Linked DNA regions of Lonchura striata. The main gene of each other region encodes a partner of the protein of the gene in region 2 in a complex. Links are inferred from orthologs where the notes say so. Each region holds a gene or a part of one and is shown on either strand. Other genes may lie near its edges. The genes, in order: XPR1 and KIDINS220.

Region 1 (15,726 bases), on a different chromosome or scaffold from region 2:
GACATCAGCACCAGTGTGGTTGCAACACAGAAACTGGCCAGAGGTGCAAAGGTTGTAGCTGGAGTTGTGCAAATAGTGAATCTTTCTGTGGAGAGAAATATCTCAGCTCTAAGTTTTTTGGTTTGGAGCAGCCAGATGAAATGTTGTGTGTATTCTGTTTTCTAAATGGAAATTAAAAGGAGAAATTTTGGTTTGGTTGACCTAGAGTATTTTGTTTGGTGTGAAGAAAACACCACAACATTTCTTTTTGTTTCATTTTATTCAGCTATACTTAATCTATCCTCTTTCCTTTTTTTTTTTTTTTTTTTTTTTTTTCATCCAGCAGGAAAATCTGGCTGTTGGACCTGGAGAAAAGGAGTGTCAGGGGAGACCTTATTGCTCTCTATAACTCCCTAAAAGGAGGTTGTGGCCAGGTGGAGATCAGTCTGGTTGCAAGAGACAGGATGAGAGGAAATGGCCTCAAGCTGCACTAAGAGAGGCTCAGGTTAGGAAAACATTTTTCAGGAAAATGGTTGCAAATGCTGGAATAGGCTGCTCAGGGATGTAGTGAGGTCACCACACAACAACCACAGCAGAGCCCTTAGCTGTGAAACAAATCCCACATGGTTTTTTACTGAAAAGAATGAAAGAAAAAGTCACTTCTTATGTGTGGGGTTTTTCACCAGGATAATGATGAAATTTAGCTCAGTTTTGATGTTTCAGTTGCCCAGAAATTTTGTGGAGAAGACAGAGCTGAGGTGTTCAGCAGGAAAGCCCAGCTGAATTTGGGCTGCCACTTGCACACTGCCCTCAGCTCACATTGAGTGAATAATGCTTTTATTTGTCACTGCCCTGTCACTGCAAGACTGTGGATGTCCCTCCTTCCCTTCTCCATCTCCCCAGGCAGGGTTCTCTGCATGCCTCGGGTACCCAGCTCCCAGATTCCCTGGCAGCTTGCTGGCCACTGCTGAGCTGCCTGGAGCACACCAAACACCCCCCAGGCAGGAGATCTGGTCTGTGCTGCTGGAAAGAAGTGCCCAGCAGTGATCCTGCTGGGATGCTGTCCCCACCTGCCCCCCACCCTGGCCTTACCCGGGGGCACCAGGAGAGTTTCTCCCCAGTGAGTGCTTGGACCTGCTGTTCATCCCTGCAGAGCCCCTGGATAATCCCCTGTCCTCTGTCCTCTCCAGGGAGATGAACACCACCAGATGAGCTCTCCTTACATCCTGCATCCCTCCCCAAACCCTCCTTGCTCCCACATTCTTCCCTGGAAGCCTCCCTGCACTGGGGCAGGGATGCAGCTCTGGAAAAGCTGCTCCTGCTGCCGGCTCAGCTCTCCTGCAGCGTGCAGAAATGGAAGGGAGTGCCTGTAATTGCAGCTGTCAGGAGTAACAATCACAGGGCTGCTGTTATAAATGGCTCCAGCCTGACTTTTACTTACAGATTTCCCTCACGTGATGCCACGAACCACAAAAGATAAAACCTGCACCACAGAAAGGTAATTTCAGCTTCTGGCTCTGTGGAGGGGGATTTGTGCCTTGTTTTGGCTGTAAAATAAAGCAGGCATGGTGTGTTGGGGAGTTTTCATGAACAGGGTGGGACTGCTGGGGTATGTCTTTGAGTTTTATTTGCAGCATCAGCCTCATTACACGGTTGAGACAATGGAAAGATGGCAAAAGCTCACGTACAACTAGCAGTAGCTAGAGATTTATTTGCTGCAGAGCATTTTAAAAACTTTCTGGCCAACAGCATATTGCCAAAGCTTACAGATAGTTGTTCTAGTTAATTACTAAAAGCACACCTACACCTGCTTCACACAATGCTTGCTTGTCTGCTCTCTATTAACAATACACAATACACAAGTTCAGAGTTTTCTATTCTTTCTCTTTCTAAAGCCAACTTTTCCCAGCTTTCTAAAAATCTTATTACCTTTACTATTTCCCACAGCATGGCTTGGGCTGCAGGTCAGCATGTCCTGGTGGGGCTGGGGTGGCTCAGAAGAAGGGGACACCCAGTGTCTCCTCCACGTCACCCTGCAGGGGCTGAGCCCAGGTGTGAGAGCCCCTGCCCATTCAGTGGCCCCTGTTAGCCAGAGAAGGGTTTTAGGCTAATTCCTGCCAGATTTGTAAAAATTGTGATGATGTCTGGAGACAGAGAGGATCTGCAGGGCATGGGGGTCTCAGGCTGTGAGGGTGACCCTTGCCAAATCTGCTGGCATTGCTTGGAGGCCTGAAGAAATTCCAGGGAGTCCCACATAGGTGTGGTTTGTTCCAGGGCTAATTTCTGTGGTGAGGACAAAGCCAGGCTGTGTCTGGCTCACAGCTGCCATCAGAAACCAGAGATCCAGCAGAGCATGGAGCTCCCAGCATGGACTTATCCAGAGCTGGGATGAGAACCCACCTGATGTGCTGCCCTCTCTCTCTGCCCTGATGGCACAAGGACCTCTGGAACACATCCCTACTTGCTTTAAATGATTGTTTCTGATCTGACATCTGTCCTGAGGCTGCAGGACCTGGACCTGCATGTTGTGGTACCTGTGGATGATCCAGACTCAGCCCTGGTGCATAAGGAAATGATCCTGAGGTATGTGATTTCCTTCTCCAGGCCAAATGAGACCTCCAGGGAGGAACAGACAACCTAATGCTGTCCCAAGAGATGTCCCAGCTGACTGGAGCACAATGTCTGGCACCTGCAGCCCACTGGGGACATCAGCAGGAGATGAAACCCTAAGGATTCTCTTGACTCAGGGCTCAAGCTAGGCAGGGTCAAGCCAGGTTTGGCAGGAGCAGCTGTTCTTTCCCTAAAACCACAGGATCATTCAGGTTGGATAAACCTCTAAGACCACTGAGTCCAACCATTAACTCAGGACTGCCTTGTTCACCACAAAACATGTTCCTAAGCATCACATCCACACTTTTTTTGAACAATTCTAGGGACCTGGGTTCTACCACTGCCCTGGTTTGCCTGTTCCAGTTCTTGAGCACAATTTCAGTGGAGAAATTTTTCCTAATATCCAATCTAAATCTCCTCTGGAGCAGCCTGAGGCCATTTCCTCCAGTCCTGTCAGAGAGGAGAAGAGATTTACTCCCACCTGGCTATAGCCTCTGACCACAGCCCTTGCAAATAGGAAGCCTGTGGCCTTTTGTGCACTTTGATAAGGTCCAGAGGTCGTTAGAAAACCCACAAAGCTATGTCAGGATTTCCAAAAACTCTTAGGAAGTCCAGCCAGCTTTAGAAGTCTCTGCCACAGCTATTACCACACACCTCAAGCTCTCTGGCACTCAGTTTTCATTGTCATTATTGACACACTGGATAAGAGACACAAGTTCAATGCAGAGAATTGCAGTGACATCCTCCAGCATGTACCAGCTCTGGTGTCACACAGGGACATGGGCTGCTCTTCCCAGCAGGACCTCTCACACGGCATGACCCCAGTCCTTGGCTGTGTCATGGGAGTGGCACAGGAAAGAGGAGTTCCCCCAGCTTTTTCACTGTGCTTGTGGCAGCTTGGTGCCTGCAGCATCGATGCACCAAGAAATGCCAATATCTTGTGTTTCCAGCACAGCTTGCTGTGACTCTGGTGTGACAGTGGCACTGGCTGTGTGACCCAGCAGCAGCTCCATGGATGCTGTTTCTCATCCCAGGTCACCTCCATTCCTGCTGTTTGGTGGGTTTCCTTCACTCCCCTCATGTGGTGTATTCCCCTGGGAAAGGGCCAGCGGTCAGGGAGGCAGGAGTGTGTTTAACAAGGCAGGTGAGATTGGTGTAAACAGGACAGGAACGGTCCCAAGGCCACCTGGCACTATACCAGCCCCTGTTCCCTGGAAAACATCCCAAAGGGATAAGGGTCTGTGCTGCTCCAGAGCACGGTGGGGTAATCTATGCATGGTGAGGTGCAGTGGGGACAGCTTCAGCAGGGGGATTTAGTAGTGCAGCAGTCCTGGAGATGGATCAGGGATGCTGGAGGCACTTCCCAAGCTCTCCTGGAAGCAGCCCAGGCAGCCCTGGGGCTTGGAGGAAGCAGCTCTTATTTCTTCTCTAGTTTTAGACCTTTTCAGTGCGTTCAGTTTTCTTAACCACTGGTCAGCTGCTGTCTTCTCACACAAAGCAAGCGTGCAGAAATTAAAGCAGGCACGTATATGTGGGTTGGAAAGCATCCAGGAGCAATCACTTACACACCAGGGAAGGGCGTGAAACCCCCCCCATCTGCTCCCGGATTGAGGCAGCACAGCGAGTCCCCAGCCCTGGCACAGCTCCCAGGGGCTCATCCCAGCGGGGCACGCTGCGCTCCTGGCAGCCCCAGGGCAGGGAACCGCCGGGGAGGAGGGCTGATTTCGGAATTTCCAGGCAGGATGCTGCCGAGGGGACACGTGTGAGCTGCCAGGAGCTGCCGGGAGTCAGACCAGGAAAGGTCACCCGGTGCAGAGGCAGCTCTGCTCCCAGCACAGGGCACGCTCCTGGGAAAAGGGAGCTGCTTCTTTCCCCCTGTAGCTGCATCCCTGAGTGTTCCAGCAGCAGCCAAACCTATAAATGGGTTTCCAGTCAGGGCGATGTTGTTGCCTGGTGTTGGGACTTTTAACCTCAGGTGTGTAGCCACGCATGGGAAAAATCCTCTCTTGATGATGTGCAAGCTCAGCAGGGCATGGTTACAGCTCACAGACCCATGTCTGCATGAGCTGCCCCATCCATGTGGGGAATTTTGAGTCCTAAATCCACATCTGAGATGGACTCAAGTCCCAAAGGATCAAATTCAGTCAGTCAAATTCAAATTGACCCTGCTGCATCCAAGGTGGAGGAAAGCACAACCCCTCCTGGCAGGTCTCCTCCTGAAACAGGGAGAAAAGCATCATCTTACCCACCTTGGAAAATCTGCAGGAGCTGCCAAGGCAGTGTGTAGAAGAAGATGGATGGATACCAACATCCCTGCCACTGGAATCAGATCAATCCACTGCATTATTATGTCCTGGAAGCCACTGTTTCCCCTGGCTTTACAGAACTTCCTGCAGGCGGCTAACCTGGCTGTATAAACACTCTGCTCCCAGTCTGACCTTGTGCACTGCCTCTTCCCTGGGGTCTGGGACCCCCCCAGCTTCTAGTGCTCATCATCACACCCTCATTCGTGCTCCAGGGAGAAGAAATATGAGAAAAATCAATAGCTCCAGCTCAGGGGGATATGTGCATTTTTGCACTGGGAAATCTGATATATCGACCCCGTTCCTCAAGACAGCCATCGATGGAGCTGGTAATGGGAGGGCTCAGGGCTGGGGGTTCCAAGGCCAGGGCTGATGCTCTATTGATCCTGGCAGTCAGGGCAGCTTCTCTTGGTGTGATTTACTCAATTCTCTTGTTGTTCCACATCAAGCTTGTTCCCAATTTGCTTTTACGTCTGTATTTATTTATTCCTTGTTTTCCTTGCCAAGCAGTGGCAGTGAAGCCTCTGGGTCATCCCTCTGGAGCAGGAATCCCCACATGGGCAGGGCAGGGCAGGGCAGGGCAATGAAGGATGCAAAGAGCAGCGTTTGGCCCTCCTGATGCCTCCCCTGCCTCTGCACCAAGGCTGGGATGGTCTACTGCTCCCAAAACCCTGGGATTGGGCATTACTTCTTTTGTTTTCAGTGGAAAATTGACTTTATCTGCTCAGATTCCACGGATGTTGAATGACAAGGGAATTTAGGGCATTTTGTAAATCACACCAATCCCCCTGACCCCATGGTCCAGGCTCAGCCAATCCTGCTCTGCTCATGGGGCCAGGGATGGTCATGCACTTCCTCCCATGCCAAGTGGAGCCCCTAAATATCCAGGCATCTTAAAATCCTTTTGCCTGGGGAAAAGGTGGGAGGAGGTCCATGGGTTTCTTGCATTGTCTCCTGTGATGGAAAACCCTCCTCTTTGTGATTTTATGAATGTCAGTAAAGCAAATTTTCCCTTGGCAAGACTATTTTTTCTAAAGCCTTTTTTTTAAGACTTCTTTTCCCCAGCGATGCAGAAGCTTTAAAAGTATAATTATATATTTTAAAAAAATCCCACCATGCTATTTATAAATTATTCTATATGCTCCCAACAAAGCAAGTGCCAGACTGCACTGGCGGAAAGCCCACTCCTTGCTTGGTTTTAAAATGCAAATAACATTGCTTCTGTGATTTTTTTTTTCCTAACTACAACAGCATGGGGGAAATCACAATGCAAACTCTTTCCTGGAAAAAGGAGAGAGAGAGATGAGGAAAACGTGGCAGCCTTGTGCAAGGGAGGTATGGGGAGTGAGATTCAGACCTGAGGTACAGAGACTGGGATCCAAACTTGGGCTGTGGGGACAGAGATCCAGACCCAAGACTAAGATTTTTGGGCCCAGCATCCCTCCTCAGTGCTGCCTGGATTCCCCCTGCCTGCCCTCCACCCAGCCGTGGGCGGAAGGCAGTAGAGGCATGGAAGAGTGGTGGCCTTTTCTCTTTCATTTAAGGCTTCTCCTTGCCCTCTCTCCCTTCCTGCATTCCTCCCCCAAGCCTGGATGTGCAGACCTACGAGTTTTGAAACCTTTAGAGGAGTTGGAAAGCCCCAAGTCCCAGCAGAGCAGTGAAACACGAGGATGCTTAGTGTGGTCCCAAGGGGTATCTGATAACGGGAGGCAGGGATTTGCCAATCAGATATTTGAATGGAGCTGTTTCTACTGGGCAATGGTGAGCAAAGAACCCAGCTTCTGCTCTGCCTCCCCTGTTACCATCTGTCTTCATTTAATGATAAAAAAATAGCATTTATTGATATAAAATAAATAAAGGGTGGGGGGGATTGCTGGTTATTTTCCATCATGAAAATCACCAGCTGTCGTATCAGAAGACATTAATTTATTATACACCCCAGTACGTATCCCAGGCAATGCCTCCCGCAAATAACAAAGAGAATATTTATTTCTTAATCCTCTTTTCTGCCCCCCCCGCTGCAAGTTATCTCCGGGAGCCCGACAGGATTCAAAGGGTCGGGCTGTGACATGCCAGCTGTGACATGCCAGCTCCCCGGGGCTGGAGCAGGCTCGGCCCGGGGCGATGTCACCGGTGTTATCAGGCACAGCTGATGCCAAGGTGAGGCATGGAAAAGCCACTGACCTGCGAAATGTAAGTCAAGCTGTGCCACTCGTGCCAGGGCCAGCGCCGGGCAGGCTCGCTGAGCGCCAAGCGTCGCAGCGAGGGCACGAAAGCTCCGCTCGTTTAAAGGGTTTGCTGCAAGCGTAATTAAGAGATGGTATCAGCGAGAGCCAGGCGAATCTCAGCCCTCGCAAATCACAGATCCCCGAGCCTGCACAGGACCCCCATAAATCTGAGCAGCAAACGAGCTCTGCGGGTGTCAGGGGGAGGGATGCTCCGGCAGCTGCTGCCAGGGAGGGACCTTGTGGTGCCGAGGGGATGGGATCGGCCCTGCCGAGGGTGGGAAAAAGATGAAAACTGTCACACCAAAGGTTGGGAGGCTTGAAGGAAACCAAAATTCATTTCAAAGGAGGTAAAGCCCCAAAAACAAGCAGCTGGGGAGTGGCAGGGTTAGGGCCACTGAGGATCTTTGGGATAACCAAGGGTTGCAGCCCCCTGCCAAGTGGCTCCAGTTTGGTCCCTCAGGCCATGATCCAGTGGGTGCCAAATCCCCAGCTCCAGGGGTGTCTGTTCCATGGCAGACATGGCCCTGTGCAGGTGGGTTTGCTCCAACAGCTGCCCTGGAGTCCCTACTCCCCTCATCCCAGCCTGGCACTGATGGGCAGTACAAGGGCAAAGGCGGTGGAGATCATGCAGCTTTTGGAAAATTTTCCCTTTCCTCTCCACACCCTTTATTTTCCCCTCTTATCTTTCTTTCCCTTTTTTGCTGGTCTCGTGTGGCCCGTCAGACCAGCTTCCCTTCTCCCTCAATCCTTACTTACTCTTTCCTGCAGTTTCTCCTATTCTTTCTCCCATCTTCACCTCTGTTCTCTGTCTTTCCTCTCCTTGATCCCTTCCCATTCTGCCACTTCTTTTCTCCCATGTGCACCACTCTCCCTGCTACACTTCTCCCCTTCTCATCCCCTTCCCATTTCACCTCATCTTCACACCATTCCCTTTTCATCACATCCCGTCCACATCCCATCATATGCTAATCTCATCCCATCCTATTCCTTTTCCAATACCATTCCAATACCATTCCCATTCCCATTCCCTTCCCATCTCATCCCTGTCCCCATCCCCACTCTCATCCTATCCCATCCCATTCTCATCTCCTTTCCATCTCATCCCCATCTCATTCCCATCTCCATTCCCATTCCCATTCCCATTCCCATTCCCATTCCCATTCCCATTCCCATTCCCGTCCCCATCCCCATTCTCATTCCGTTCCCCTTCCTGTTCCCATTCCCGTTCCCATCCTCATTCACCTTCCTGTTCCTATTCCATGCTCCTGTTCCCATTCCCATTCCCATTCCTATTCCCATTCTCGTTGCCATCCCCAGTTGCATGCCCGTTCCAATCCCCGTTCCTGTTCCCATTCCCATTCCCATTCCCATTCCTGTTCCCATTCCTGTTCCCATCCTCGTTCACCTAACCGTTCTTATTCCATATTCCCATCCCCATTCCCATTCCCATCCCCATTCCCATTCCCATTCCCATTCCCATTCCCATTCCCATTCCATATTCCCATTCCCATTCCCATTCCCATTCCCATTCCATATTCCCATTCCCATTCCATATTCCCATTCCCATTCCCATCCCCGTCGCAATTCCCATCCCCATTCCCATCCCCATCCCCATTCCCATTCCCATTCCCATTCCCATTCCCATTCCCATTCCCATTCCCATTCCCATTCCCCGTTCCCGTCCCCGTCCCCGTCCCCGTTCCCGGACATCCCCGCACTCCCGGGGCTCGCGGGTGACGCTCCCGCGCCCCAAACCGGACCCCGACCGCGCGCGAACCGCGGCGCCCCCCGGCGGCGAGCGCGGGAACGGCGCGTCCCGCGGGCGGAGCCGGGCGCGGGCCCCGCCCCGGGGCGGCGGTGCCGGGGACGGGCCCGGGGCGGAGCCGGGTTCAGGCCCGCCCCGGGGCGGCGGGGCGGCGGTGCCGGGGACGGGCCCGGGGCGGAGCCGGGCGCAGGCCCCGCCCCGCGGCGGTGGGCGGGCGGCGGTGCCGGGGCCGCGCGGTGCCGGTGCCGGTTGGCTGCGGGCGGTGACGGCGGGAGGCGGTGGCGAACATGGCGGCGGCGGCGGCCGGGGAGGCGGCGGCAGCGGCGGGGCGGCGCTGAGGAGGCCCGAGGCGGGCTGAGGAGTGGCGGGGCGGGCGGGCGGGGGCCCATGTGCGGTGGCGGCGGACCCCCCCCGCCCCCCACTACCGACGCCCGGTCGCAGCCAGGCGCCGCCGAGGCGGCTCTGCGGGCGCGCAGCGAGCGCGGCCCCGGCCCGCCGGCAGGATGAAGTTCGCCGAGCACCTCGCGGCGCACATCACCCCCGAGTGGCGGAAGCAGTACATCCAGTACGAGGTACGGCCCCGGGCACCGGCCCCGCGCCGCGGGGCGGTGCTGATGGAGAGGCGGCGTGTGCGTGTGTGTGTGTCCGCCGCGGCGGGCAGGCTGCGGCGCTGGGCACCCCCCGGCCGTCCGCTTCGTTAATTACGGAATTAATTACCGCCCGTAAGCTCTTGCCGGGGGACGGAGGTCCGGGCACACGCGCGGCACCGGGCACCCCCCCGGCCCCGGCGGGGGCTCGGCACCAGCGCCGGTTCCCGGAGGAGCGGTGACTTTGAGCGCTCCCGGCCTCCCAAGGGCGATCCCGCTGGGCTGGGCAGCTCCCGGCGCCCTCCCTGCCCTGCCGGCGGCCACCGGCACCGCTCTGGGCTCCCCCGAGCCCCCCAAACTGGCTCCGAACCCCCTTCAACTCCCCGAGCCCCCCAAAACTGGCTCCAAACCCCCTTCTACTCCCCGAGCCCCTCAAAACAAGCTCCAAACCCCCTTAAACTCCCCGAGCCCCCCAAAACTGGCTCCGAACCCCCTTCAACTCCCCGAGCCCCCCAAAACTGGCTCCGAACCCCCTTCAACTCCCCGAGCCCCCCAAAACTGGCTCCGAACCCCCTTCAACTCCCCGAGCCCCCCAAAACTGGCTCCGAACCCCCTTCAACTCCCCGAGCCCCCCAAAACGAGGAAGGCAGCAAACCTGCATCAGCTCCGGTTTTATGATGGTTTTTAAGTAAGGCTCTGCAGCTCGCTGTTCCACACTCCAGTCGGGGCGTTTATGAGCACTGTTTGCACCAAGTTCTGCTGCATTAATCGTGAATTATCTGCAGAACACAGCTTTTTCGGGCTTTATCACGGCAGCCTGCTAAAGGTCATGCTGATTGCTTCGTTTCGGATTTATCACACCGATTCTGGGCTTGGTTGGAACTGGACGGAGCTGGAGGTGGTTATTTGTAGTAAAACCATTTCCTATTTCAATGTCAGCAGTAAAAGTGGCAGGTGCCAGCGATGTCTTTTCCACAAGTAATAATTAAATCTAGACAACGGAAAGCTGATTATAGGACAGCCACGATCAGCAAAACTTCTTGACTGATTGACTCAGTGAAAACCACGCAACATTTGTTGTTGTTTGAGGGCCTGTATTTTATCCCTAGGACTATAATAGCAATTTATTTATGCTATCCATATTAATCTGTCTGCATTGGCAAGGAAAGCCACATTTATCTTAGCTTGCTTTGTTATAATGTCGAGCTTGAGAAGTTTATATCTATCCTTTTCATTCTTCCTTTGTTTTCCTTTACCTGACTGCAGAGGAACGGATGTTTAAATAAAAGCTGCAGTTGGATTTGGCTTTACAACAATATTGTGATCTCCTTGAATTATGTGGAAAGCTAGATGGCCAGATAATGCTATCAGTCTTTGAGGTGGAGGAAAACCATTGTCCTGGTAAAATAAAGGGCCAGCTTAGTTCCGCATCGTGTCTCTAATGGGTTATCCCTGTGAGAGTTGTCTTCTGTTCCTGAAAACAGAAAACTTGGGTATCTTCCTAAGAGCAGCTTTGGAGATGTGTTGGAGAGGAAGGCAAAGGGGAAATAAAAGGGTGAAAGATCTAGCTGCATGCTGAGCAAACAGCTGTGCAGAGAGGGGAAGGAGACCCAGTGAACTACGACACCTCGATTAATGTGTGAAGAGCTCTGCTGCTCGTCGGCCGCTGTTTTCATTATGGGAGGTTAATTTTCAGCCGTTTTAACTAGGGCACTATGATTATGTCATTCTCCCTTCCTGCAGCCCAGTTTAAGATGTAGATTTCAGTAAAAACTTCCTTCAAGTCGTTGCTCTTTCTAATCACAAGTAATCCCCTCCTTGGATAGACAGCTTAATGTGGAGTGAAGGAAAATACCAACCTCACCTTCCCTTTCAGTTATAACTTTCAAACTCTTTGTTTGCCTTGTTGCAGCTGGCTGGATGCGAGTCAGCCTCCTGCTTGTGCATATTAGACTGATGGAATAGCCTGGCATTTATTATTCAGTAACTGGTGGTCGAGTGGGTGCAGTGCATAAAAGCCCAGCACCACCTCCATTTACTTGTTGATTATACCTGGAGCAAAAAGCACCCAGCCTTCCTTTGTCCAGAAAAATTCCCAGGTGTTGATTGGCAACTGTGAGGGTTAAACTTTGCCTGTGTTACTTGTGTGCAGTGCTGCTTTACAGAAGGTGTCACAGTAACATTTTCAAAGGTTATTTGTATATTTAATAGTGTTATAATGTTTCTTCTCCTCACAGTTTATATGTTTTCCTTCTTAATTAACACAGGAACCACCTGAGTTCAGAGATCTTCTTGGGTAGGTTTTTAACTCTGAAAAGATTCTTCCTGTTTCCAGGATTTCACATTCAACATCACAGAATTCTGGAATGATTTGGGTTGGAAGGGACCTTAAAGATCATCTTGTCCCATCCCCTGCCATGGGAAGGGGCAGCTTCCACTATTCCAGCTTGTTCCAAGCTCCATCCAGCCTGCCCTTGGACACTCCCAGGGATCCAGGGGCAGCCACAGCTTCTCTGGGCAACCTTTGCCAGGGCCTCCCTACCCTCAGGGAAGATTTTTTGCCTCATATCTGATCTAAGCCTGCTGTCTTTCAGTTTGAAGCTGTTCCCCATGAGAGGACTAAAAGATGATGCAGAAATTGCTTTCTCTAAGTCGTTCTGTATCATAAAGCTTACACGCCCTCATCTTTATTTTCCACTCTGGTATTTGTGGTCATTTCCACTGGAGAGCAGGTGATTCCTGGAGCCTGGCAGGACCCAGGTAACCTGTGAGATCCTTCCATGGGATTTGGAGCAAGCTTTGCCTGTCAGACCAGGTGTAATCTGTTGGTGATAACCTTGGAAAGAGGAATGGGATTGTTGCGTTTTCAATACCTAAAAGTGTAGTTTCACTTTCAGGTGGTGTTAACCAATTGACAGCCCTCAAAACTTCTGACCATCCACATGCTCTTTCCCTCCAAAAAGAATCAGTTTAAATATTCTAAGTGTGCTTGTAGGAAATGTGGTAGTTGCCTGAGCTTAGGGCTGGCAGTCAGGGTGAGAGCTTTAGGGAGAGCAAAAAACATTCATTTTCTTTAAACAGACATAAGTAAGATATATTTTGGTATTATTTGCTTTCAGTAAAAGCTCTGCAGTGACCATTACTGTACGTCTAAGCTCTTTGAGAAGGAGCACTTGGTTTACAGAAAAGAGGGAAAATGGCAGTGAATGCTATTCTGTTTCATTCAGCTTTTCCCAAAGACATTTACCATGACTGAGCCAACAATAATGTGGAGCTTTAAACCATGATGGACTTGATTTGGCTTTCCATTCCAAATTTCCATTCTAAAGATTGCATGAAATGATGTGGATGTGCCTCACCCTGGCGGCAGCAGTGGAGGGCTTTGCTCACCTTGTTTTAGGGGGTCTGGCAGTGCATTTTCTTCTGTAAAGTGAGTCACATTTTCCTAGCCTGTTAAACTACAGCTGTGATATGCACTGCTTCGGTGTACATTTTTGCCTTGAGAATTTTGGGCCACTCACTTACCCCTCAGTTCCTTTGGAAAAATATGAAAATGAAAAAAATGGAAAACAGGAAAAACATGAAAACAAACACAATCCCAACTTTTTGTGTCAGATGACTGAATTCTCATTTCCACATAGTACTGAACAAATTCAGGTAACTCTTGCATGAATTTCAGCTGATGCTTTCTTTTTTTTTTTTTTTGGCTAGGAGTGTGCTCTGCTGCATATAATGCTCATTTTTGATGCAGGGAAATATTTGGGTTGCTAGTCCTCTATCCAGAAATCCTCCTGGGTTCCTTTGCTCTCGTGTCCCTCTCTGGATTGCTTTCAGGAGGAGAGCATTGCTCAGACTTCTAAATGTAAATGTGTATCTGCACATCCAGCTGATGGAACTGTACAACTCACTTGTCCAGTTGCCAGATGGCTGTTTGGTTGCAGTAAATCTGGCCTGAAATTGTTTCTCAGCAGAAGTTTGATGGCATTTTTATAGGAAAAATACATAATACCTTTGAAATCACAACAGCTGTGGAGGGAGGAGCAGAACAATTATTACAGGTGCAAAGTTCATGGGAGAGTTGGGTAAAGGTGTGAGCAGGTGACCTCCCTTCCCTTTTTTTAATGGTTTTAAGTCATTTTGCTGTTGCAGAAGAGGAACAGGTTGCTAAGTTTTAGGCGACATTTCTCCCAGACACCACCTGCAGCAGGAAGTGGGTGGGGGCAGAGGATAGCTGAGGTTGCCTGCTTGCCTTCAGAGTGTCTCTTGCAGAAACGCTTTCAGTTTTTGGGAGGTGGCCAATTCTGCTGTCAAACCCAGCTTCATGATAGGCAGTTCACACCCAGGCTTGCCACCTCCTGACACAAATCTGTTGTGCTATTTCACTATTTGTCCTTCGGGCTGTTAGCAGACGAGCTAAGTGGTTTGAAAGACTCCTTTAAAACAGTGGGTTGTTTTTTTTTGAACGTTTTAAGGTTTTTGTCCTTGATTTTGTTCACTGATAAGGTCTAATGGTTGCATTTTCAAGTGTTTTCTTTTTGCCTTTTTTTTTTTTTTTGTTCCCTTATATGTATTTACACAAGTTGACTGATGGTGTAAGGTGTAGCACTGGCACAATCTAAAGCAGGGAAATAACCCATTTTGTTTAGTTTGAGGGCACAAACAGTAATTCTTGAATGTTTCACATTGACAGTGATGGATAACTTTTGTAAATGATCGGTTCTAAGATTCTGTAATCTAGAGGACTAAATAGTTTAGGTGTGAAGGAGCACTGAGTGTTTAACTTTCAGGTTATTGGTTTATTTATATAGGTCAGGAAAGCAGTAACAAAATCTGCTGCCCTGCAGCTGCCAGATTGTACTATGTCAGTCTGCATGGGGAGAGGTCTGTGGGACGACTGACACCTTCAGCTTTCAAGATTATTTAGTGCAGGACTGTCAATGTTGTCCTTTGTAATTTGTGTTTTTAAAAAATGACTGATAAAACCAGAGATAGGCATTATACCGGGTTTACCTCTGGTTAAGAGATGAGTTGTTACTACAGTGACTTTCAATATGCTGTCTCTTCTGGTTTGTTTGTCTTGTGTCACGTCGTGGTTCATGGAAAAAGTTACAGGTAGGTGAGGATGATGACTGGGATGGAAAAGGAGGAAGATTTTTTGGCTATTTGGTGTGCAGAGACAGATCATGTGCTGCTGACCAGTGAGTCCTGGGGGGAAGGGACTGAAGTGGCCAGTGCTCCTGAGCAATTTTAGAAAAGCACCAAGAGCAGAGGAGAGCTGTGCTGCTGGCATGAGGATCATCCAGCAGTGGCTCAGTTGGGAAAACAATTATGCAAGTGACCTTTGCTGAGACCTCTGTGGACTCAGGAGCCAGACCTTTGGGAGATGCCAGAGCTGCCGGTGTAAGCAGCCACCTTGGGTATCTTGTGATAAACAGACTTGTCCTTTAGACCTTGTGTTTACCCAATGTGTTACAACAGCATTCAGTTCCCTGCTGCTGAGCTGATGGTTTTTACCTCCAGGGTGTTGGGGGATTTGTCATTTAACCTAGGAGGTTTTATCCTGGGGCACTGTGACACACACCTCTGCTTCTGCTATCTTTTGGGGTTATGGAAGTATGGGATATGCTAAGAATCAGGCAGAATAGATAGGAACTGAGAAGACCTGAATTACTTTTTTTGTTTTACATTTCTGTGGGCTCAAAAATGAGGGAATAAGGTCAGTTTTTTGTGGTGGTGGAGGAGGGTACTCATGTTCAGTATGGGTATTAAGGTGTGAGGTGTGTATAAGCAAATCACTTTGCAGTAGGAATGGGTTCTTTGCTCTGGCTTTTAGTTCCAAAGTTATGGCTAAGGTTATTCATGAAGTCCTAGAATGCTTTGGGTTGGAAGGGACATTTAAGATCCTCTTGTTCCAACTCCCTGCCATGGGCAGGGAAACTTTCCACTAGACCAGGCTGTTCCAACCCTGTCCAACTTCAAGGGATGGGGCAGCCACAGCTTCTCTGGACAACCTGTGCCAGGGCCTTACCATTCTCACAGTAAAGATTTTTTCCCTTATATCTTACTCCAACCTGCTTCTGTCAGTTTGAATCCATTTCCTCTTGTCCTGTCATTCCTGGCCATTGTCCAGATGTTCCTCAGTTCTCTTGGAACCCCTTTAGGCACTGGAAGGGGCTCTAAGGGCTCCCTGGAGCCTTCTCTTCTCCAGCTGAACACCCCCAGCTCTCTTACCTTGTCTCCATAGCAGAGGTGCT
Region 2 (15,447 bases):
AGCAAAATTACCTTGAAGCTCCAGCACATAGGTAGTCAAACATGAAATGACTATCACAACCAATTTCTGTATGCTTGATAATTGATGAACCTTTATCCAAAGAAGTGCGTGAATTTGAGGAAAAGCTTTTTCTTTGAATTAGAATTTTAGATGCAAATTTCATGTCATATTTCTGGGTAACATAAAGAAAGAAATCCTTCAGAATATCTGACTGTCTGACTCATGGAAGTGTGTCAAGGAAACAATGTAGTGGTTATATCTATTTCCAATCATTTATTTTGATGATGGTTAGTGCTAGAGTACTACTGTTAAAGGGCTACATTTTAATTGCATATATTCTGTATTTTCATATAATTTTTTTAAGTAAACACAAGCTGTTTATCCATGTGGGGTTTATTCTTAATTTTAAAGCAGCTACAAGATAATAGCAGAGAAAAATAATGCAGCTGGTTGATTAATAACTAACAAATTATTGAGAAAATTTTGTCATAATATTTTGAAACCTAAAGTTTTCATCAAATATCTAGCTCCAGTTGGATGAGTAGTCTTACTACCAGAAGTGCAATGATGGATATATCCCCAGCTTTGGGGATATTGCCATGCAGAAATCATCACAGTACTCCCTGAAGGACTATATCCTAAGTTAGGTCAGAGTTGTTTCCTTGCTGTCATAACTCTCTGGTCCTTGGCTCCTTGCCTAAAACTCTGGGAGGAAGAGGACATAACTTCCCATAAATGTAGTTTAGCACTAATTAATCTACTCAGAAAGGGTGAACTGAATATGAAATGAGAGTGGATTAGTCTGTTCAGATGAGGAGGGATGTTCATTGTTTCAGTGACAGCTGTATTATCTTTAAGATAAAAAAATCTGACTTCTAAATCCTTACTTTGATTGCCCAGGTAGACTTCCCCTAACATGGGGTTATGGTAGTCATACACTTCTTTGACACCACATTATGGTTTTCTTTTTGTTAATAAGTAAGAGTATGCTAGTTTGTTTCATCATCCTTGTTAAATACAGAATCAGGAAAGACATTTTTTTGCATTCTGCACTTGAAGGGGCATTTACATAAAGGAACAGAAAAAGATTTGCACATTTCTGGGTGGGTAAGTAGAAATAGGATTGATTCTTTCAGCATTGGTTACTCTTGAACTTAAATTCATCTTATTGGTGCAGTCTCCAGAACTATTTAATTGCATGCCATGTGATGTGCTATTTTCTTATTTATCTTCTCATACTCTTGATTTACTGTTTTGGCATGTGTGCTGTGGAGGCTTACTAATTCTTCTTTATGAAATATGGAAACAGTTGTAAAGGCTCCCAGAAAGTGAGCAGATACAGGGTAGTACAGACTGATACTTCAACATGAGTGAATTCAGAGGTACAGTTTTTTCAGAACTTCTTTATGTATGGAAGTTGAAACAAGGAAGAAAATACATTCATACTTTTGCTGAACACAACTCTACATACTTTCATTGAGAGCAGGTGGCAAAATACAGGTTTCAAGACTGGACATGACTTTTTTATTTCTGATTTGAACTCATTAAGTAATTGCACACAAGAAAATTATGACAATTAATTATGCACAGAGTTTAAGTATAGTGTCCTGGAATTTACCCTTTAAGTGCCACTGTTAGGTATTTGAACAAAAATCTGCTCTTCGTGAGAATGACTTCTCTTGAGGACTGTGGAAAAAACTGGTTTATTTTAATGGCGGCACCCTGATTTTAGTCAGACTGGAGTTTTGATGTCTTTCCCTCTGCTTTACTCATTTTCTGCCTTGCTATCACACTGGATCCTTTTTATCCATGCAGTCAGAAAGTCAAGAGCAGCCAGCCCTAATGCTTTAGATAATTTTTAGGTTTTACACACACCATTTGTTAATACTGAATTTGAAAGGATGGCAGTGATTTTTATTGCTCTTCCTGACAAAAATTGTAGAAAGTATATTTCCTATAAATGTTTTGGACATGAAGGAAACATGGTTTTAAAAGTATTCTTTCACTTATTAAATAATGTATATCCAAAAGTAAAAGTGTTTCCTGTATTGCAGATCAGCACACTATGAAAAGTAAATGCAACATATCATTCATAAGTTTATGGTGCTTTGCAGATATTTGCCTATTGTGAACAGTTCATTCAGGCAGTTAATGAGTTAATGTTAGTTGGTAAATGTAGTCACCCCGATAGTAACTATTTGCTTGCTTAATGTTTTTTAACTTTTATGATTCTGTATTAATGAGAGAGATATATTTTACATATTTAAATAATACTTTCAGTGGTGCCCACTACTGTAGTAATCAAAAAGGCTTTTTAGCTTTGCAGTTACAGATATGCCCTTCTTAGTTGGGAAATGTATTCTTCCCTGGTCATTCCTTAAGTTGTCATGTAGACAAAATTTCAGTCATTGGTGACATTTGAAAATGTATTACATGTAAAAATATTGGTATGCATTTCAATAAGTTCTTCATAACAAATCACACTTTAGTGAGAATAACATGAAGAGACCTTGGTATATTCCCTGTTCTACACTGATATACGGTATAAGTTTTACCAATATAGTAAATTATTTATTAGAGGAATTTTACACTGAAGAACTTGTTCTGTTTCCCCCAGGGGAATAAGTAATATTAAAATAAATGCTAGGCTTATATGACAGGATGCACATTAGGTAGTTTTGCCTCTTTTGATGGCATTGATTTGGATAGTGGTTAAATGTCTTCTGATGCAGAGGAGATGTTTGAGATCATCACCTCCTGTCTAATTCATATCAAAAGTAATTTTAACAAAATTTAGATTTTTTTTCTCTCAAACTTTGCAAATGAATTGTTGACAATTTGTTTAAATACATGGTCAAATGTGTCTTCACGTTTGTATAAAAATGTGTAACTTGCTTACATGTGAACTTTCACATGTTCAACTTTATAAGTTGGCCTTGAAAGACATTTAAAAGCACAAATTACTATAATTTAGGCTTTCATTTCCCTTATCTTTAATTCTTTCACTTTGTAATTCTAATTGAATTCTGAAATTAGGCTAGAGAATTTGATTTTCATTGGAAAATTTGAAATACTACCATCTATGTAGAAAAGTGATCAGTGTTAGAAAAACAGAAATAAATTTGAGGATTTTAATATGATGTAGACTATGTATAAAAAAATACACACTAGTTCTGTGCTGATTCATCACAGCATTTAACTACATGATTGACCTTTATGTATTTATTTAGGTCCAATAATACTCTGAACTGCACTTGGTGTATTTTTAAATTTTCCTGTTTAAAAATCAATTGATAAGTATTTCAGTAAGTATTTAAATGCTACTCTGAATAAGTAAGCAGGCACTCTAGGGAATTGAGCCTACTCTCATAAGATTACCAGGTCTGTCTGCACCACAGCTAGTTTGCACTGTCCATCTTCATCCTCAGAGTCTTGGTGGAAAAGGATGGCAGTGGAGAAATCTCTGGTTAGAACATGTTCCATCTGTGCCTGGAAGGCTTTGCCACAATTCCTGCAGGGAGCTAACCCTGTGTGCAGAGCTTGGCAGAGGTTCTACTTGCTTGTGACCCAGGCTGCAGCTGCTCTATACTACATCTGACTGGATTTTTGACATGTTTGCTGTTCTAATCTTGATATTTTGCAAACACCATGAAATCCAGGCATCCACAAAGTCTCCCTGCAAAGTTACAATAACAAATACTGCAACACTTGTTTATTATGGTCAAAGCTAAATAAAAAAAAGATTTCTTAAAAACTTGTTTCAGAATGGGCTTTTTGTAGTTTTTTTACAAAATCTAACCACCAAATGTATCCATTTTCATCACATTAAATATTTAAACTACAATTTTGCTCAGTGTAGGTATACAAATGTGCAAAAGCAAATATTGCCACTTTATCATCATTTGTGCATTAGCTGTGTGTCCAGTGACTTAGACCTGGTTTTGGTTGTAGATGGTTTTAGATTTTCTGAACCCGTGTACATATCCATATAAACATTGCATAAATTTTGAACTGAAAAACTGTGTGACTTCAGACTGAGGTCTGAGGTAGGGCTACTTCTGGTTTTTGTCTTGTTAGTGACTCAGTCCAGCACCTTATTCCAAGCAAACCTCTTGGCAAAAGAGACCTCTGCACAATCTTCTTCCTTCCTTTTGTTCTCTAACGGGAAGGTACCCCAAGCTGGATTTTCATTTAGGTTTCACTGTAATACGTCATATGAATAGATAGCTGGGGTCCATGCTTTAGCCAAATTAGACTTGAAAACAGGGACAGTGTATGTATTCTGAAACAAATAGAGAAAATGGGGTGCCTAGAGACTGGTAATCGGAAAGTGCAACACTGCTTATTAAAGGTGCAACAATTACTACAATAAGTTAAGGAGTATTTGCCTATGCATCTTTTGCCTTTCTCTGTGTTTTTCAGTTCTCTTTACATCTTTTCTTTGTACCTTCTTTTGTCCAGTGGTGTTGACTATTTCTGTGGAGAATCTGCTGATGTGTCTTACTGTGACAAAGGTGTCAAAATGCTACAATAGTAATTAGGTAGTTACTCTTAAATCCCAGACCTCAGATATGTTCTAGATCAGTTAGAAGAGAACATTCAAAATGTATTGGATGAAAAATAGTGTAAGATGGGTAATATAGCATTATTCAAAGATGTTGTAATAAGTTATTCAATTTAAGAATTTAAAATATGGAACTTTATTCTTTCCTGCCTTGGTTACACATTCAAAGGAATAGGTTTACCTCAATGCAGAAGTAGTTATGCTTCCAACCACCCGTATGTAAAGGTGAGAGAACACCCCTAAAAGTGGATAGCTACAGTATTCCTAAATTTGCCTTTCCTGGTTCAGATTATAATACATTGTCAGTGAATTTAATTTTTATTATTCCAAAATATATATTTTTTAAAAAGTGTTATTTTTCAACAAATCCATAAACTAAGTGTTGATGTATGGTAAAATCAAAATACCATTGTTAGTTACACTGTGATTGTGATATTTTAATAATTACTTATTTCTAATTTGTCTCAGCAGTGCTGCAGAAGCAGCATGCTGTTATGTTTTAAAGGTGTTTTTAACTTGCCTATAAATGTTCTTTTCTAATTTGTGTCTTTAAATCTGATTAAACTGTAGTTTAAAAAAAGTGAACTTGTTTTACTAAATTCTTTGCTGTCTATCTTTAGTGAGTGGTGAAGAACAAAGTTATTTTAATGCATTTTCTCATTTTAGATTGCTAAATACACATTGCATGCATTTACACTTATTTGGAATGTTCTAGTTCAAAATTACATTTATTTAGTTTGTTTTGTAGAGCTTATACACAAGTATATGTATATAATTATTTTTCAGTAGAGCTAGCGACCAGAATTATGAGTCTAGCCTCTTGTTAGTTAGGAAAGGTGCTTAAGCAATTTAAACCCTCCATCTGGGAGCATGTTGCTACCCAATGAGTGCTACTTCTGGATATGACAACTGGGGTGTTTTTAGCTTGAGAAATGGAAACTTCATAACTGAGAAATCAAATTTGGTGCTTTGCAGAAGCTGTTGCTTTAATTGCTGGTTCCAAAGCAGGGCTAAATGTGTACCATACGTGCACGTTTTTCGTCTTTTTGAAACTCAGCTACCAGGACTCTGATCAGGCAGTTTCTTCTGTTGGCTGGTGACAGTATGTCAAAGCTGGCTGAGACTCCTGGACCTGCAGGTTTTTACCATGTAAACTTAGATTGTTGGAGAAGATGAGAGATATTAGGTGTCCCTACTAAAGAGGGGCTGTTTTCATAACTTCCTGTCTCACAGTGAATAATTTTCTCTCCATGTTTAGAATTCTCTTTTAGCAAGTGGTATCACAGGAGATGAAAATACTTGCCATTCCAACACAATGGACTACAGATGCATTTTTAGAAGGTCTGGTGTTGTCATTTTAACCAGAAGTTAGACTTCAATGGAAATTGCCTTCTCAAATACGCATTCACAACAGAGTCAGTCAGAAGTATGAAGTGTCCTCATGAACTCAACACTTGCATTTAGTGAAAAACTAATTTGAAGATATTAAAACACAGCTTTCTGCTACTAAGTGTTGTAAATTGTTAAGTTGCTGCACAGAAGGAGTCATAATTGAGAGCATCCTGGAGCCAGCAGATATTTTCTTGTGCCTATAATTAACTTAGTTCCATCTCAGTAACTTCCTGATAACATGCAGGATGTTTCAATATGGAATACAGACATAGTTCTAGAAGGAGATGCCTTCAACCTCACCACTAGGTGAGAGTTGGAGATCTGTCCAGAGTTTGGCAGTACATCTTACAGCTCTTTGGTCATATATAGTAGCAAAGGAGTTATTTCTCCATGTGGGCTGCACATGATTTTTCCAAACTGAATAAATAACAATTGCACCATGTTTCACTGCATATGTGAATTAGTCACTGGTGGGAAAGTGTTGCTCCTCATCTAAGCATAGGGTAAAATTTAGAAGAGCACAAGGATGTTAGTAGCTGGATCCATCTGTAGCAAAAGTGCATGATTGAAGGACTGTACAGAAAACTGCCTTTTCTGCCTCCACATTCACAGTGTTTGTACAGTTCCTTTTTATGCAGAAGGGAAGGAGCTACTGTTTCTGCCTGAAATTTGTAACTACATGGTGAGAACACAGCTAACACCTGATGGGTGCGAACACTGTGATATGGGAATAAGGATTTGGGTGATGGGAGATTATGAAGTGAGATACTAATACACATTTCTGTATAAAGTGTGAAAAAAGGGTAACCTCTTGAAAATGTTTAAAAATCTATAAACCTTAAGAGGCTAACACAGGCAGTCTTGTTAGACTGGTTTCTCTTAGGTGCACAAGATTATATGGGTGCCTGAAGCATCAGGACCACTCTTCCTTGAGTAGTGGCCCTTATGCATATGTTCAGGTGGTGCAGAGAGCCCTTTTCAGCCCCACATTAACTGCAGGGACTCATCCTCCATTTGTTCACATTCCTTTTCTGCAAATTAGTGTAAAGAAGGAGAATGTGTTTTATGTACTTAATTTTTCCCAGTTTTTCAGCTGAACCAATGTTTGGGTGCAAGATTAAATGGATTTAGCTTTTGAATTTCACTGCTTGTGCCTTTGCTTTGTATTAACTTTAGAGCAGGTAAGGAAGCTGTATATTTTATCAGGACTTTAAGGTCACTGGAGAATTCCTGCTTAAAAAATGGCAAAGCCCTTGCTGCATGGTTTCTGGTTTATAAATATTTGGGGTGTAGAGCAAGCCCTATCAGATGTTTCTTTAAGAAGGAAAGAGTCATGGCTCTTTACTGAGATTGAAGATCTCAGTGTTGTAAAGAATTATATGATTGCTTTGACCCTTGAAATTCAGTAACCTTAGAAATATGCAGTACTGTGGGTACTATGCTCCTTTCCCTGGCTGGTTTGTTGCCATCGTTGGTTTAGGCAAGGTTCTGTGATCTCCTGGAGATATGTCATTGGTGTAGTCATCAGAGATCATCTCTCATCCAGTTGTCCATATGAATTAAACATATCCATTATGGATTTGGACTGTGCTGAAGATGGAAATTTTAAAAATACCCATGAAGCTACTTGGACATTGGGTTCTGGGGAGTCTGCAAGAAGTTGGTAGGTCTCAAGGCATGTGGTGGTATTGCAAAATGTGCATTATGTCAAAATTATCTTAAATCAGGATGTACTTGATATTTGGTCTTTATATACTTTTAAGTCTACTCAGCAAGAAAGGAGACATAATCAGTAGAAGAGACAGCAGCTAGTATCCCTTAATCAGGACATCCTGGAGCTAACAAGTAAATCAAGACGTTGATGTATGTCTATGTATATGTTGCCACCTTGGCAAAAGACTCAAGGTCCATGAATCCTATAGTTGGTCTATCTTCATTATTATACTAAAAAGCTCTCATGAAGTTCAGAAAGACCCTGCCCAGGTGAAGACCCTTCCCCTGAGCATGCACAGAAATCAGCTGGGATTATGTAATTTGTATGAAAATGACAACCCAGCCATAAAGATGGAGCTGGACTTGGGAGGTTACGGACACAACTTCTGTGTATAAATCACAGAAGCACAAAATATTCTGAGTTGGAAGGGACCCATCGGAATTATCAAGTCCAACTCCTGGCCGTGCACAGTACAACCCCAAGAGTCACACCAGGGGCCTGAGAGCATTGTGCAAACCCTTGAACTCTGTCAGCCTCGGTGCTGACAACTTCCCCAGAGAGCTGGTTCCAGTGCTAAGCAGTCTCTGGCTGAAGAACCTTTTTCTAACATTCAGCCTCAACTTCCCAACTCACCTGTTGCTGTTCCCTCAGGTCCTGTCACTGGTCACCACAGAGGAGAGAGAGATCGGTGCCTGCCCCTCCCCTTTTCCCAGTCCTGAAGCTGTAACTGCAATGAGGCCTCTCCTCACTCTCTTCGCCAGACTGAATAAGACAAGTGACCTCAGCCACTCCTGGTATTTCCCCGGCTCAAGGCCCTTCACACAATCTTCTCTGCCCTTCTTTGGACGCTCTCTGACAGCTCAATGTCTTTCTTATACTGTGGTGCCCAAAACTGCCCCCAGGGCTCAAGGTAAGATACCTTTCCGCGGCGCTGCTTTCCAGCCTCTCGTTCCCCAGTCAGTCCGTAATCAGGCACCAGTTGTTTACTACCTCTTCCCTGTTTCCATCAGAAAGCAGCCGGGGCCCTGCAGGGCGGTGCCACCCCCGGGCTGCCCAGCGCTGCTCAGCCGCGCCCCCTCTGCGCCGCCCCGCGCCGGGCCGGCGGTGCCGCGGCGCTCCCGGGCAGGGCGGAGCCGGTGCCGGTGCCCGCTGCTGCCGCCGCCCGCGGTGCCGGAGCCGGTGCCCGCTGCTGCCGCCGCCCGCGGTGCCGGTGCCGGTGCCCGCTGCTGCCGCCGCCCGCGGTGCCGGTGCCGGTGCCCGCTGCTGCCGCCGGGCGCGGCCGGAGCCGGGCGGAGCCGCCCCGCGCGTCACGGCCGGGCGGGCGGAGCGCCGCGGCGGAAGATGGCGGGCGCCGCCGGGCCCAGCTGAGCGGCGCTCGGAGCCGCCGCCTCCCCCCGTGCCACGCTGCTGCTGGGCCCGGGCAGCCGCCGCAGGGGCCGAGTGCGCCCGGCCGTGGGGTGAGTAGCGGCGGGACGGCGGGGGGCACGGGCCGCGGAAGGGCAGGGGAAGGGCACGGGCTGTGGGGGAGGCGGCGCTCCGCTGCCAAACAAAGGCCGCCGGGGGCCGCTCCGGGCGGGCCCCGGGGAGGCGCCGGGCTCGGGCGGTTCATGGCCGCTGTGGCCCGCGGGGCGCTCCCCTCACGGCCCGGTCCCCTCAGTGCCGGGCCGCGGGTCGGGAGCGGCGGCGCGCCCGCCGCGCTCTGCCCCGGGCATCCCGGGGCTCCGGCGGCGCCGTGCGCGGGCGGAGCGGGCTCGGTGTGGGCGGCACCGCCCCGCGGGGCCGCGGGCACGGCCTGGGCTCCCCGGCACCCCTGCCCTGGGGTGGGGAGCCTCGTGTACCGTGTTTCTCTCTTGTTGACTCGGAAAGGTAGATGAGGGTTCGACTCGCCAGGAAAGTTTTTGGCATCTTGTTTCGAAGGTAAAGAATAGCAGAATGACTGAGGATGGGAAGGACCTCCCCAGGTCATAGGGTCCAGTTCTTCTCCTCTAATAGGGACAATAAGAATGGGTCTCCCAGACCGTGCCCAGAGGGCTTTGGTGTGTCTCTAGGAGGCTCGGCAGCTTCTCTGGGCAACTTGTGCCAGTGCTGGGTCTCCCTCTCAATAACAGCGCTTCCTGATGTTCAGACAGAGACTGCTTTGAATGCAGAGAAGGGTCTGGGGCACAGATCCCGTGAGGAGAGGCCAAGGGAATGCCAGGGGTGTTTAGCCTGGAAGAGGAGACTCAGGGATGACCTTATCACTCTCTACAACTATCTGAAAGTAGCCAAGTGGGGATCAGCTTCTTCTCCCAGGTAACAAGTGATAGGACAAGAGAATGTATCCCCAAGGTGTGTGGAGGGACTTTCGTCTTGGATATTTGGCTTCTCAGAATGAGTGGTTAGACATTGCAATGGAGTGCCCAGGGAGATGCTGGAGTCACTGACCCTGGAGGTGGTTAAGGAAAGACCACTTAGTGCCATGGTCTAGGTGACATAGTGGTGTTCAGTTGCAGGTTAGACTCAGTGATTTCTCAGAGGCCTTTTCAGTTTAATTGGTTCTGTGTTTCAGTTTCTACCCATTGCCTCTGGTCATGCCATAGGACATCACTGGAAGAGTAGCAAAATGTCTTAAAGGTCTTTGCCACTTTGCATATATGCTTAAAAATTGGTTGGAAAAGTGATTTCCTCTCTATAACTTTGGGTAAAGGATTAATGGTGGAATAATACAGTAATATGTCTTCTGCTGGAAAAGTGTTTGAATCGTTACCTGATTAATTACTTGACACTCCCCCCCACCACCATCAAACAGTAAAGAAATGGACAGAAAAACAGAAGATCTTAATGTGTAAGAAAACCCATCTTTTGTCTACTGGATAGGCATCTGTTCTTTGTTCTGCCACAGTGTTTATTTAAAATTAATTGGTTATTAGGTAATTAATATCTGCTTGAAATTCTGTGTGACCACAGCTTCTGAAATGGTGCCATATTAAAGTTCTGTATCACACCGTTCACTCTTTTTAAGTGGAAAGCACTCCAAAAGATAATTTTTTTGTCATATTGTTTCTGTGACTAACAAACCTTTGATTTTATGATAAAGAGAAACGTGTTGGCCATATGAGATTGTAAGGTGTGATTGCAGGGTTTCTTGTGCTTTTGTGTATTTTGTATAGATTTTGACAATTGTTTTGTATTGGTTGGTATAATTTTAAGAAACCCCTTAATATTGGAAACTTACTGTTTGCTTTCTTTGATCTTATGTATTTAAAACCTGAAATTGTGATTTGTAGGACTGAGCACCTTGTATTTTGTTTAGGAACTGAATTTTGTCTTAGAATTCAGATGTTCTTGGCAATATGTTACTGTTCATTGACCATATTTAAATTTTGTCTCGAAGGTGGACAGATTTCTCTGATAAAATATAAATCCTCATGTCAGCTACTTCACACATTATTTTAACTGGTTTTTTTAACCAGGGTGGAACATAGGCATGTCTAATAGTTGCTATCATCTGACAACCAGCCCTGCATTTTAAATATCAATTTACATTTTTGCAGTCTTTTATATGTAATCCCCAGCCTCTTTTGTTTTATTAAAACAAACAAAAAATCCATCACTACAATATTTGGAAATGGCTGTTGCCTTGAGTCCATAAGGTAGAAAAGGATTTGTGTATTTCCAATTTCTTCTACTTCTTACTGTGTGCAGATTTGATGGTTACCGTAGAGACCTCCTTTTGTGCCATTTTTTTTGGTTATATTGGTTTCTGGTCTCATAAGAACAATGCGTGTCTAGCTGTAGTTCACTTTTTGTGTCTTTTGGTATTTTAGGATTACACAATTATGTTCTTTGTGATAAAGTAACAAAAAATAAGGTAATTTAAAAAATCTCACCTGGATAACAGAAATGTGGTTAAGAGAAGTAGAATAAATATTCCCAGATAAATATGGAAAAGCAGAAATGCAGCATAAGGTCATTAGTCACACTGGAATTTCAGACACTGGAGAAGAAGTGTGGGTGTAGACTACTTATGGAAACTTAGATTTGTTATTTCTCTCTGACTCTGGATACCAGAAATTAATATTTTTAGAGACTCATTTCAGCTGTTCTGAAAATTTCTTCTTTAAACAGATTCCTGGTTGACTCAGTCCCAATAGAAAGAATATTTTAAGATATTTGCCACTCTGTGTGATGCCTGACTGTTCATGTGTAGGAAGTATATCAATTTAGGAAGGGATTTCAATAAGGTGTCGTAAAGGCTGGGCAATGCTTGTGTTAGTAAGATTCTGTGTACTGTAAGTAAAGGTGATGTTTCAGCATGTTTTCAATTTCTTTACACCATCATAAAGCATAAAAATGTGTGAGAATATGAAACTGGCTTGTGTTAGTTTTTTATAGTAAATTTCATGTGTACAATTCTTATGTTTCATGTTCTTTTAATTCTAATTTGAAAAGATGGCACTTCCAGTTCTTAAGGGTGAAATGCTGTGCATTTACACATTTGATTTGTACGTGCTCAGATTTCAGCAGCATAATAATTATTTCCTTTTATAGTTAGCTGAAAGATCTGCCGCAGTGTTGCATGTTGGGAAGGTGGCTTTTGTGTCTGGAAAAGGAAGGAGACACTCAAAAGTAGGCAACAGTTTCTTCATTGTATGATGAAAACTGCAAATTTAATGTCATTACTATCTTGACTTTATTTTTTTTTGTTTTCAATAGGTGTTCTCAATAATGCTAGAGTTGTTGACCAGTTTTGATATTTATTCGTAAAAGGTAGCTGTTTGTACAATAAAAAAAAATGCAGAAGATCTATGTAAAAATTGTTAGAAAATTTTTGCTAGAATTTTTGCTAGAAAATAGTTGGAAAATTTAGTGAGTTATATTTCTTATATAGTTAGGAACTCATTAGAGGTTCTGAGAATACATAAAATAGCTGCAGATTTGGGTTATCAGGACCTCTGCTGTCAATACTGCTGTTGTTGAGACAAACTGTTTTGTTTTTTTTTAATTGACAAATTTTTGCAGTCTGTCGAAAACAGTGATAATGTTTGTCTGCTTCAGCTGAGGATGCAAGAGCCTTACAAAACCAGGTTAATCCCTGTGCAAACACTGCCTTCACCTGAGCATTTGTGCACTTTATATGATTTCATAGTTCTTGGTGTGTTATTAGTTTAATAAAATATCAGGATTTGCTGCCGAAGGGCATTGTGAGATTTCCAAGCTTGAAAGTTTGCATTTTGACTAAAGAGCAGTTTTTTTTGCACTGGAAATTAGCTCACTTAGGTGGGAGAGAAAAAACCCATTTATCCTTATTGGAAAGGGGATTGGTTTCCAAATAGAATCCTGGTTTTAACTGAAATTTTTGTTATAGGTTGTGCAAATATTTCTGCTGTGTCAAAGAAAGTAAATGTGTTAATTGAGCAATTAAGGACCACTTATGTATAGGATGTTCTTGAATGATACTGGTTTTGCACTTGTATTTATGAAATTTGGCAGGGATGAAGTTCTCATCCTTTAATTTGGTCAAGGGTAAGACTTAGAGTTTTCTTTTTTTTCCAGAGTTGTTTGAAAACCATATGGATATATATTTCAGGACCTTTCTTCATTAGAGGGACCAGAGCAGAATTACTTCTCTAGCCAGCAACTGTTCCTCAGAGTCTTGCTTTCAGTTTTTATGATTATTTAAAAGAAAATCTGAAGCATTGGAAGAAATCACACTTTAGTGATCAGCACCCCTTTGAGTACAATGCCTAATTTTCATAACATAATAACATACATCTTGTATAATAAGAAGGTGGAGTGTGACTGCATTCAGCTGATGTTGAGTTGCTGTCATGAGTATATAATGAACAGACCCAGTCAGGCTTATTTTGGGCATGTTCTTTGTTCTTGCTGGGAAAGAAATAAAGCAAAGTTTCCAAAAACCTTAATACCACTATTTTTAAATTCATCTTTGTTTCTGGAATGATGGGGAGAGTTTTGTTTGTTTGTTGGTTGGTGGTTGTTGTCCCTAAACTGTGCTTTCCTAATTCCCTCCAGTGATGTTAATCTTTAGGATGCTCTAAGCTTTCCTGAAAATGGGAAAATAAAAGCATGAGGATATAAAATGCATAATTATAATATTTGATCTTGTGATTCTTGTTTTTATAAAATAGACTATTATTAATTCTAAAAAGTGACAGTGAAACACAGGGGACAAGAAACATTCTTGGATATGTTACACTGTTGTAAATCTTTTATAATTTATAGAAGTAACATTACCATGGAGGTTATAAACACATCTCTAGACATGTTCATTGGCATCAGGTATTTTGCTGTCAGTCAGAGGTTTAAGCTGTCCCTAAGGATTCAGCTCTGCTTGAAGGCAGAAGCTGCACTGTCGCCAATTGGGATTTCTGAAGCAAGCTGGATGCTTATCTACAGTGCAGCAGGGCTGCCTCTGCCTTTTGGGAATATGCCCACAGGGAACATCAAGGGAGAAATCTTACTTTGAGGAAGAAGCAATGCTGAATGCTTTCTTTTCACACTAGATAAGAATTCATTAGTGAAGTTTTGATAGCAACTGCAGAGTATAAATCATTTGGGGAGACATTTTTAGTAATGTTTTGGGGATGTTCTTAATACAGTTCTCAATTTAGTATTTGGTATGGAAAATAGCATGGGAATTGGTGGTACAGCTACAGGAGAGAAGCTGGGAGATAGCACAGGAAAAGCAAAAAATGCCTATGGTAGCAGTAGAGCTAGCAGCTAATGACATTTCATGGATTTCTTTTGCCTTATATAGAAAATAAGGGAGGAATACAGGTGTGTGTGAATATCTAATGTAATTTTAAGTGCTTGAGAATATCTGAGACACCTGCATAGGGCTGTAAGATGCTGCTGAAAGCTGTTAGGGTGGTGGGCTGTCCTGGACTGGCAGCTGGATGCCAGGCAACATGCTAACTTTCCTGGTATTTTTAGTGTCTGAAATGGCAGTAGGAGCCAGTGTGTCCGCACTGAGTCAGTAAAATTGCCATTTATTTTCAAACCTTTAGTAGTTTGGGTGATTAGTGGGTTTTCTGTTTTTAAGTTTGCAACCTCTCAGTTGGCTCTTCCTACTGAAAAAAAAATGCAGACAAACATATCCCACCACTGTTGTGCTGCTCACTCCCTTTGATGGTAATTTAACTGTACAGTAAACGTGACAGCCCTTTTGTGGTCTTAGTTTATTTATAGCTTTTTTGTGGGACAGACTGGCTGCTTGGGCAGTGCCTAGGAAAACTGCTGCTGGGCTTTATGTATCAAGTCTAGATTTTTTCTTTTTTTTTTACTGGTTTTAGGTGTGGGTTTTAAACAGTGTCTGTAGTTTCTTTCGTCACTAGACATTCATGGGCACCTGAATTTCATTTGCACATACAGAGATCTGCTGTCATCTTAACTGAGGTATTACCTGGCCTTATTTTGAACAAGACATTTCTGTATGTGGGTCATCTGATGGTTGCAGTACTGTAGGTGAGCTCAGGTAGTATCTAACATACCCTGACAACAGTATGTATGACTATATGTACTTAACTTGGTAAAGGTGAAACTATGTTGTTACAGACTATGTAAACAATTTAAAGTGGAACTGGATTATTTTATTTAACTCTCCAAATCTAAACTAACTTCTCTGTGCTAAGCACAGTGAAGTTCTTGCTGACTTCCTCTCATCTCCTTTTTTTCAATGGAAGCACAGAAAAATTCATTGTCTGCTTTGATTTGAGAATAAAAGTAAGAATATTTGCTTTGGAAAGCCACTAATCTTTGGCTTCTCCCTGGGAGA

What was found.
Region 1: the proteins of KIDINS220 (region 2) and XPR1 are in contact, whole or in part, in a cryo-EM structure (PDB 9JXQ), measured with the Homo sapiens proteins. The link is inferred for Lonchura striata from reciprocal best matches to the Homo sapiens genes KIDINS220 and XPR1. Residues at the interface, in NP_065789.1 of Homo sapiens: Glu36, Cys37, Gln39, Asp70, Trp72, Met102, Trp105, Trp110, Tyr113, Lys114, Val138, Ile142, Trp143, Gly146, Arg147, Ser166, Asp167, Lys168, Tyr169, Gly170, Trp176, Arg179, Lys180, Gln198, Glu199, Gly200, Ala201, Ser203, Lys234, Arg267; in NP_004727.2 of Homo sapiens: Leu95, Lys189, Lys190, Gln193, Glu197, Ala200, Asn204, Glu205, Ala636, Asp637, Asp638, Leu641, Leu642, Gln644, Met645, Met646, Asp647, Gln648, Asp649, Asp650, Val652, Arg653, Asn654, Arg655.

Annotation. Positions count from the first base shown.
Region 1 is NC_134611.1:2,182,986-2,198,711, reverse strand, and holds the start of XPR1 (solute carrier family 53 member 1), read left to right. Parts: upstream 1-9,299; 5' UTR 9,300-9,388; coding exon 9,389-9,457; intron 9,458-10,127; exon of another isoform or gene 10,128-10,507; intron 10,508-15,726. UniProt on the Homo sapiens protein: Inorganic ion transporter that mediates phosphate ion export across plasma membrane.
Region 2 is NC_134605.1:98,452,358-98,467,804, reverse strand, and holds the start of KIDINS220 (kinase D-interacting substrate of 220 kDa), read left to right. Parts: upstream 1-8,996; 5' UTR 8,997-9,127; intron 9,128-9,468; exon of another isoform or gene 9,469-9,587; intron 9,588-15,447. UniProt on the Homo sapiens protein: Promotes a prolonged MAP-kinase signaling by neurotrophins through activation of a Rap1-dependent mechanism. Provides a docking site for the CRKL-C3G complex, resulting in Rap1-dependent sustained ERK activation.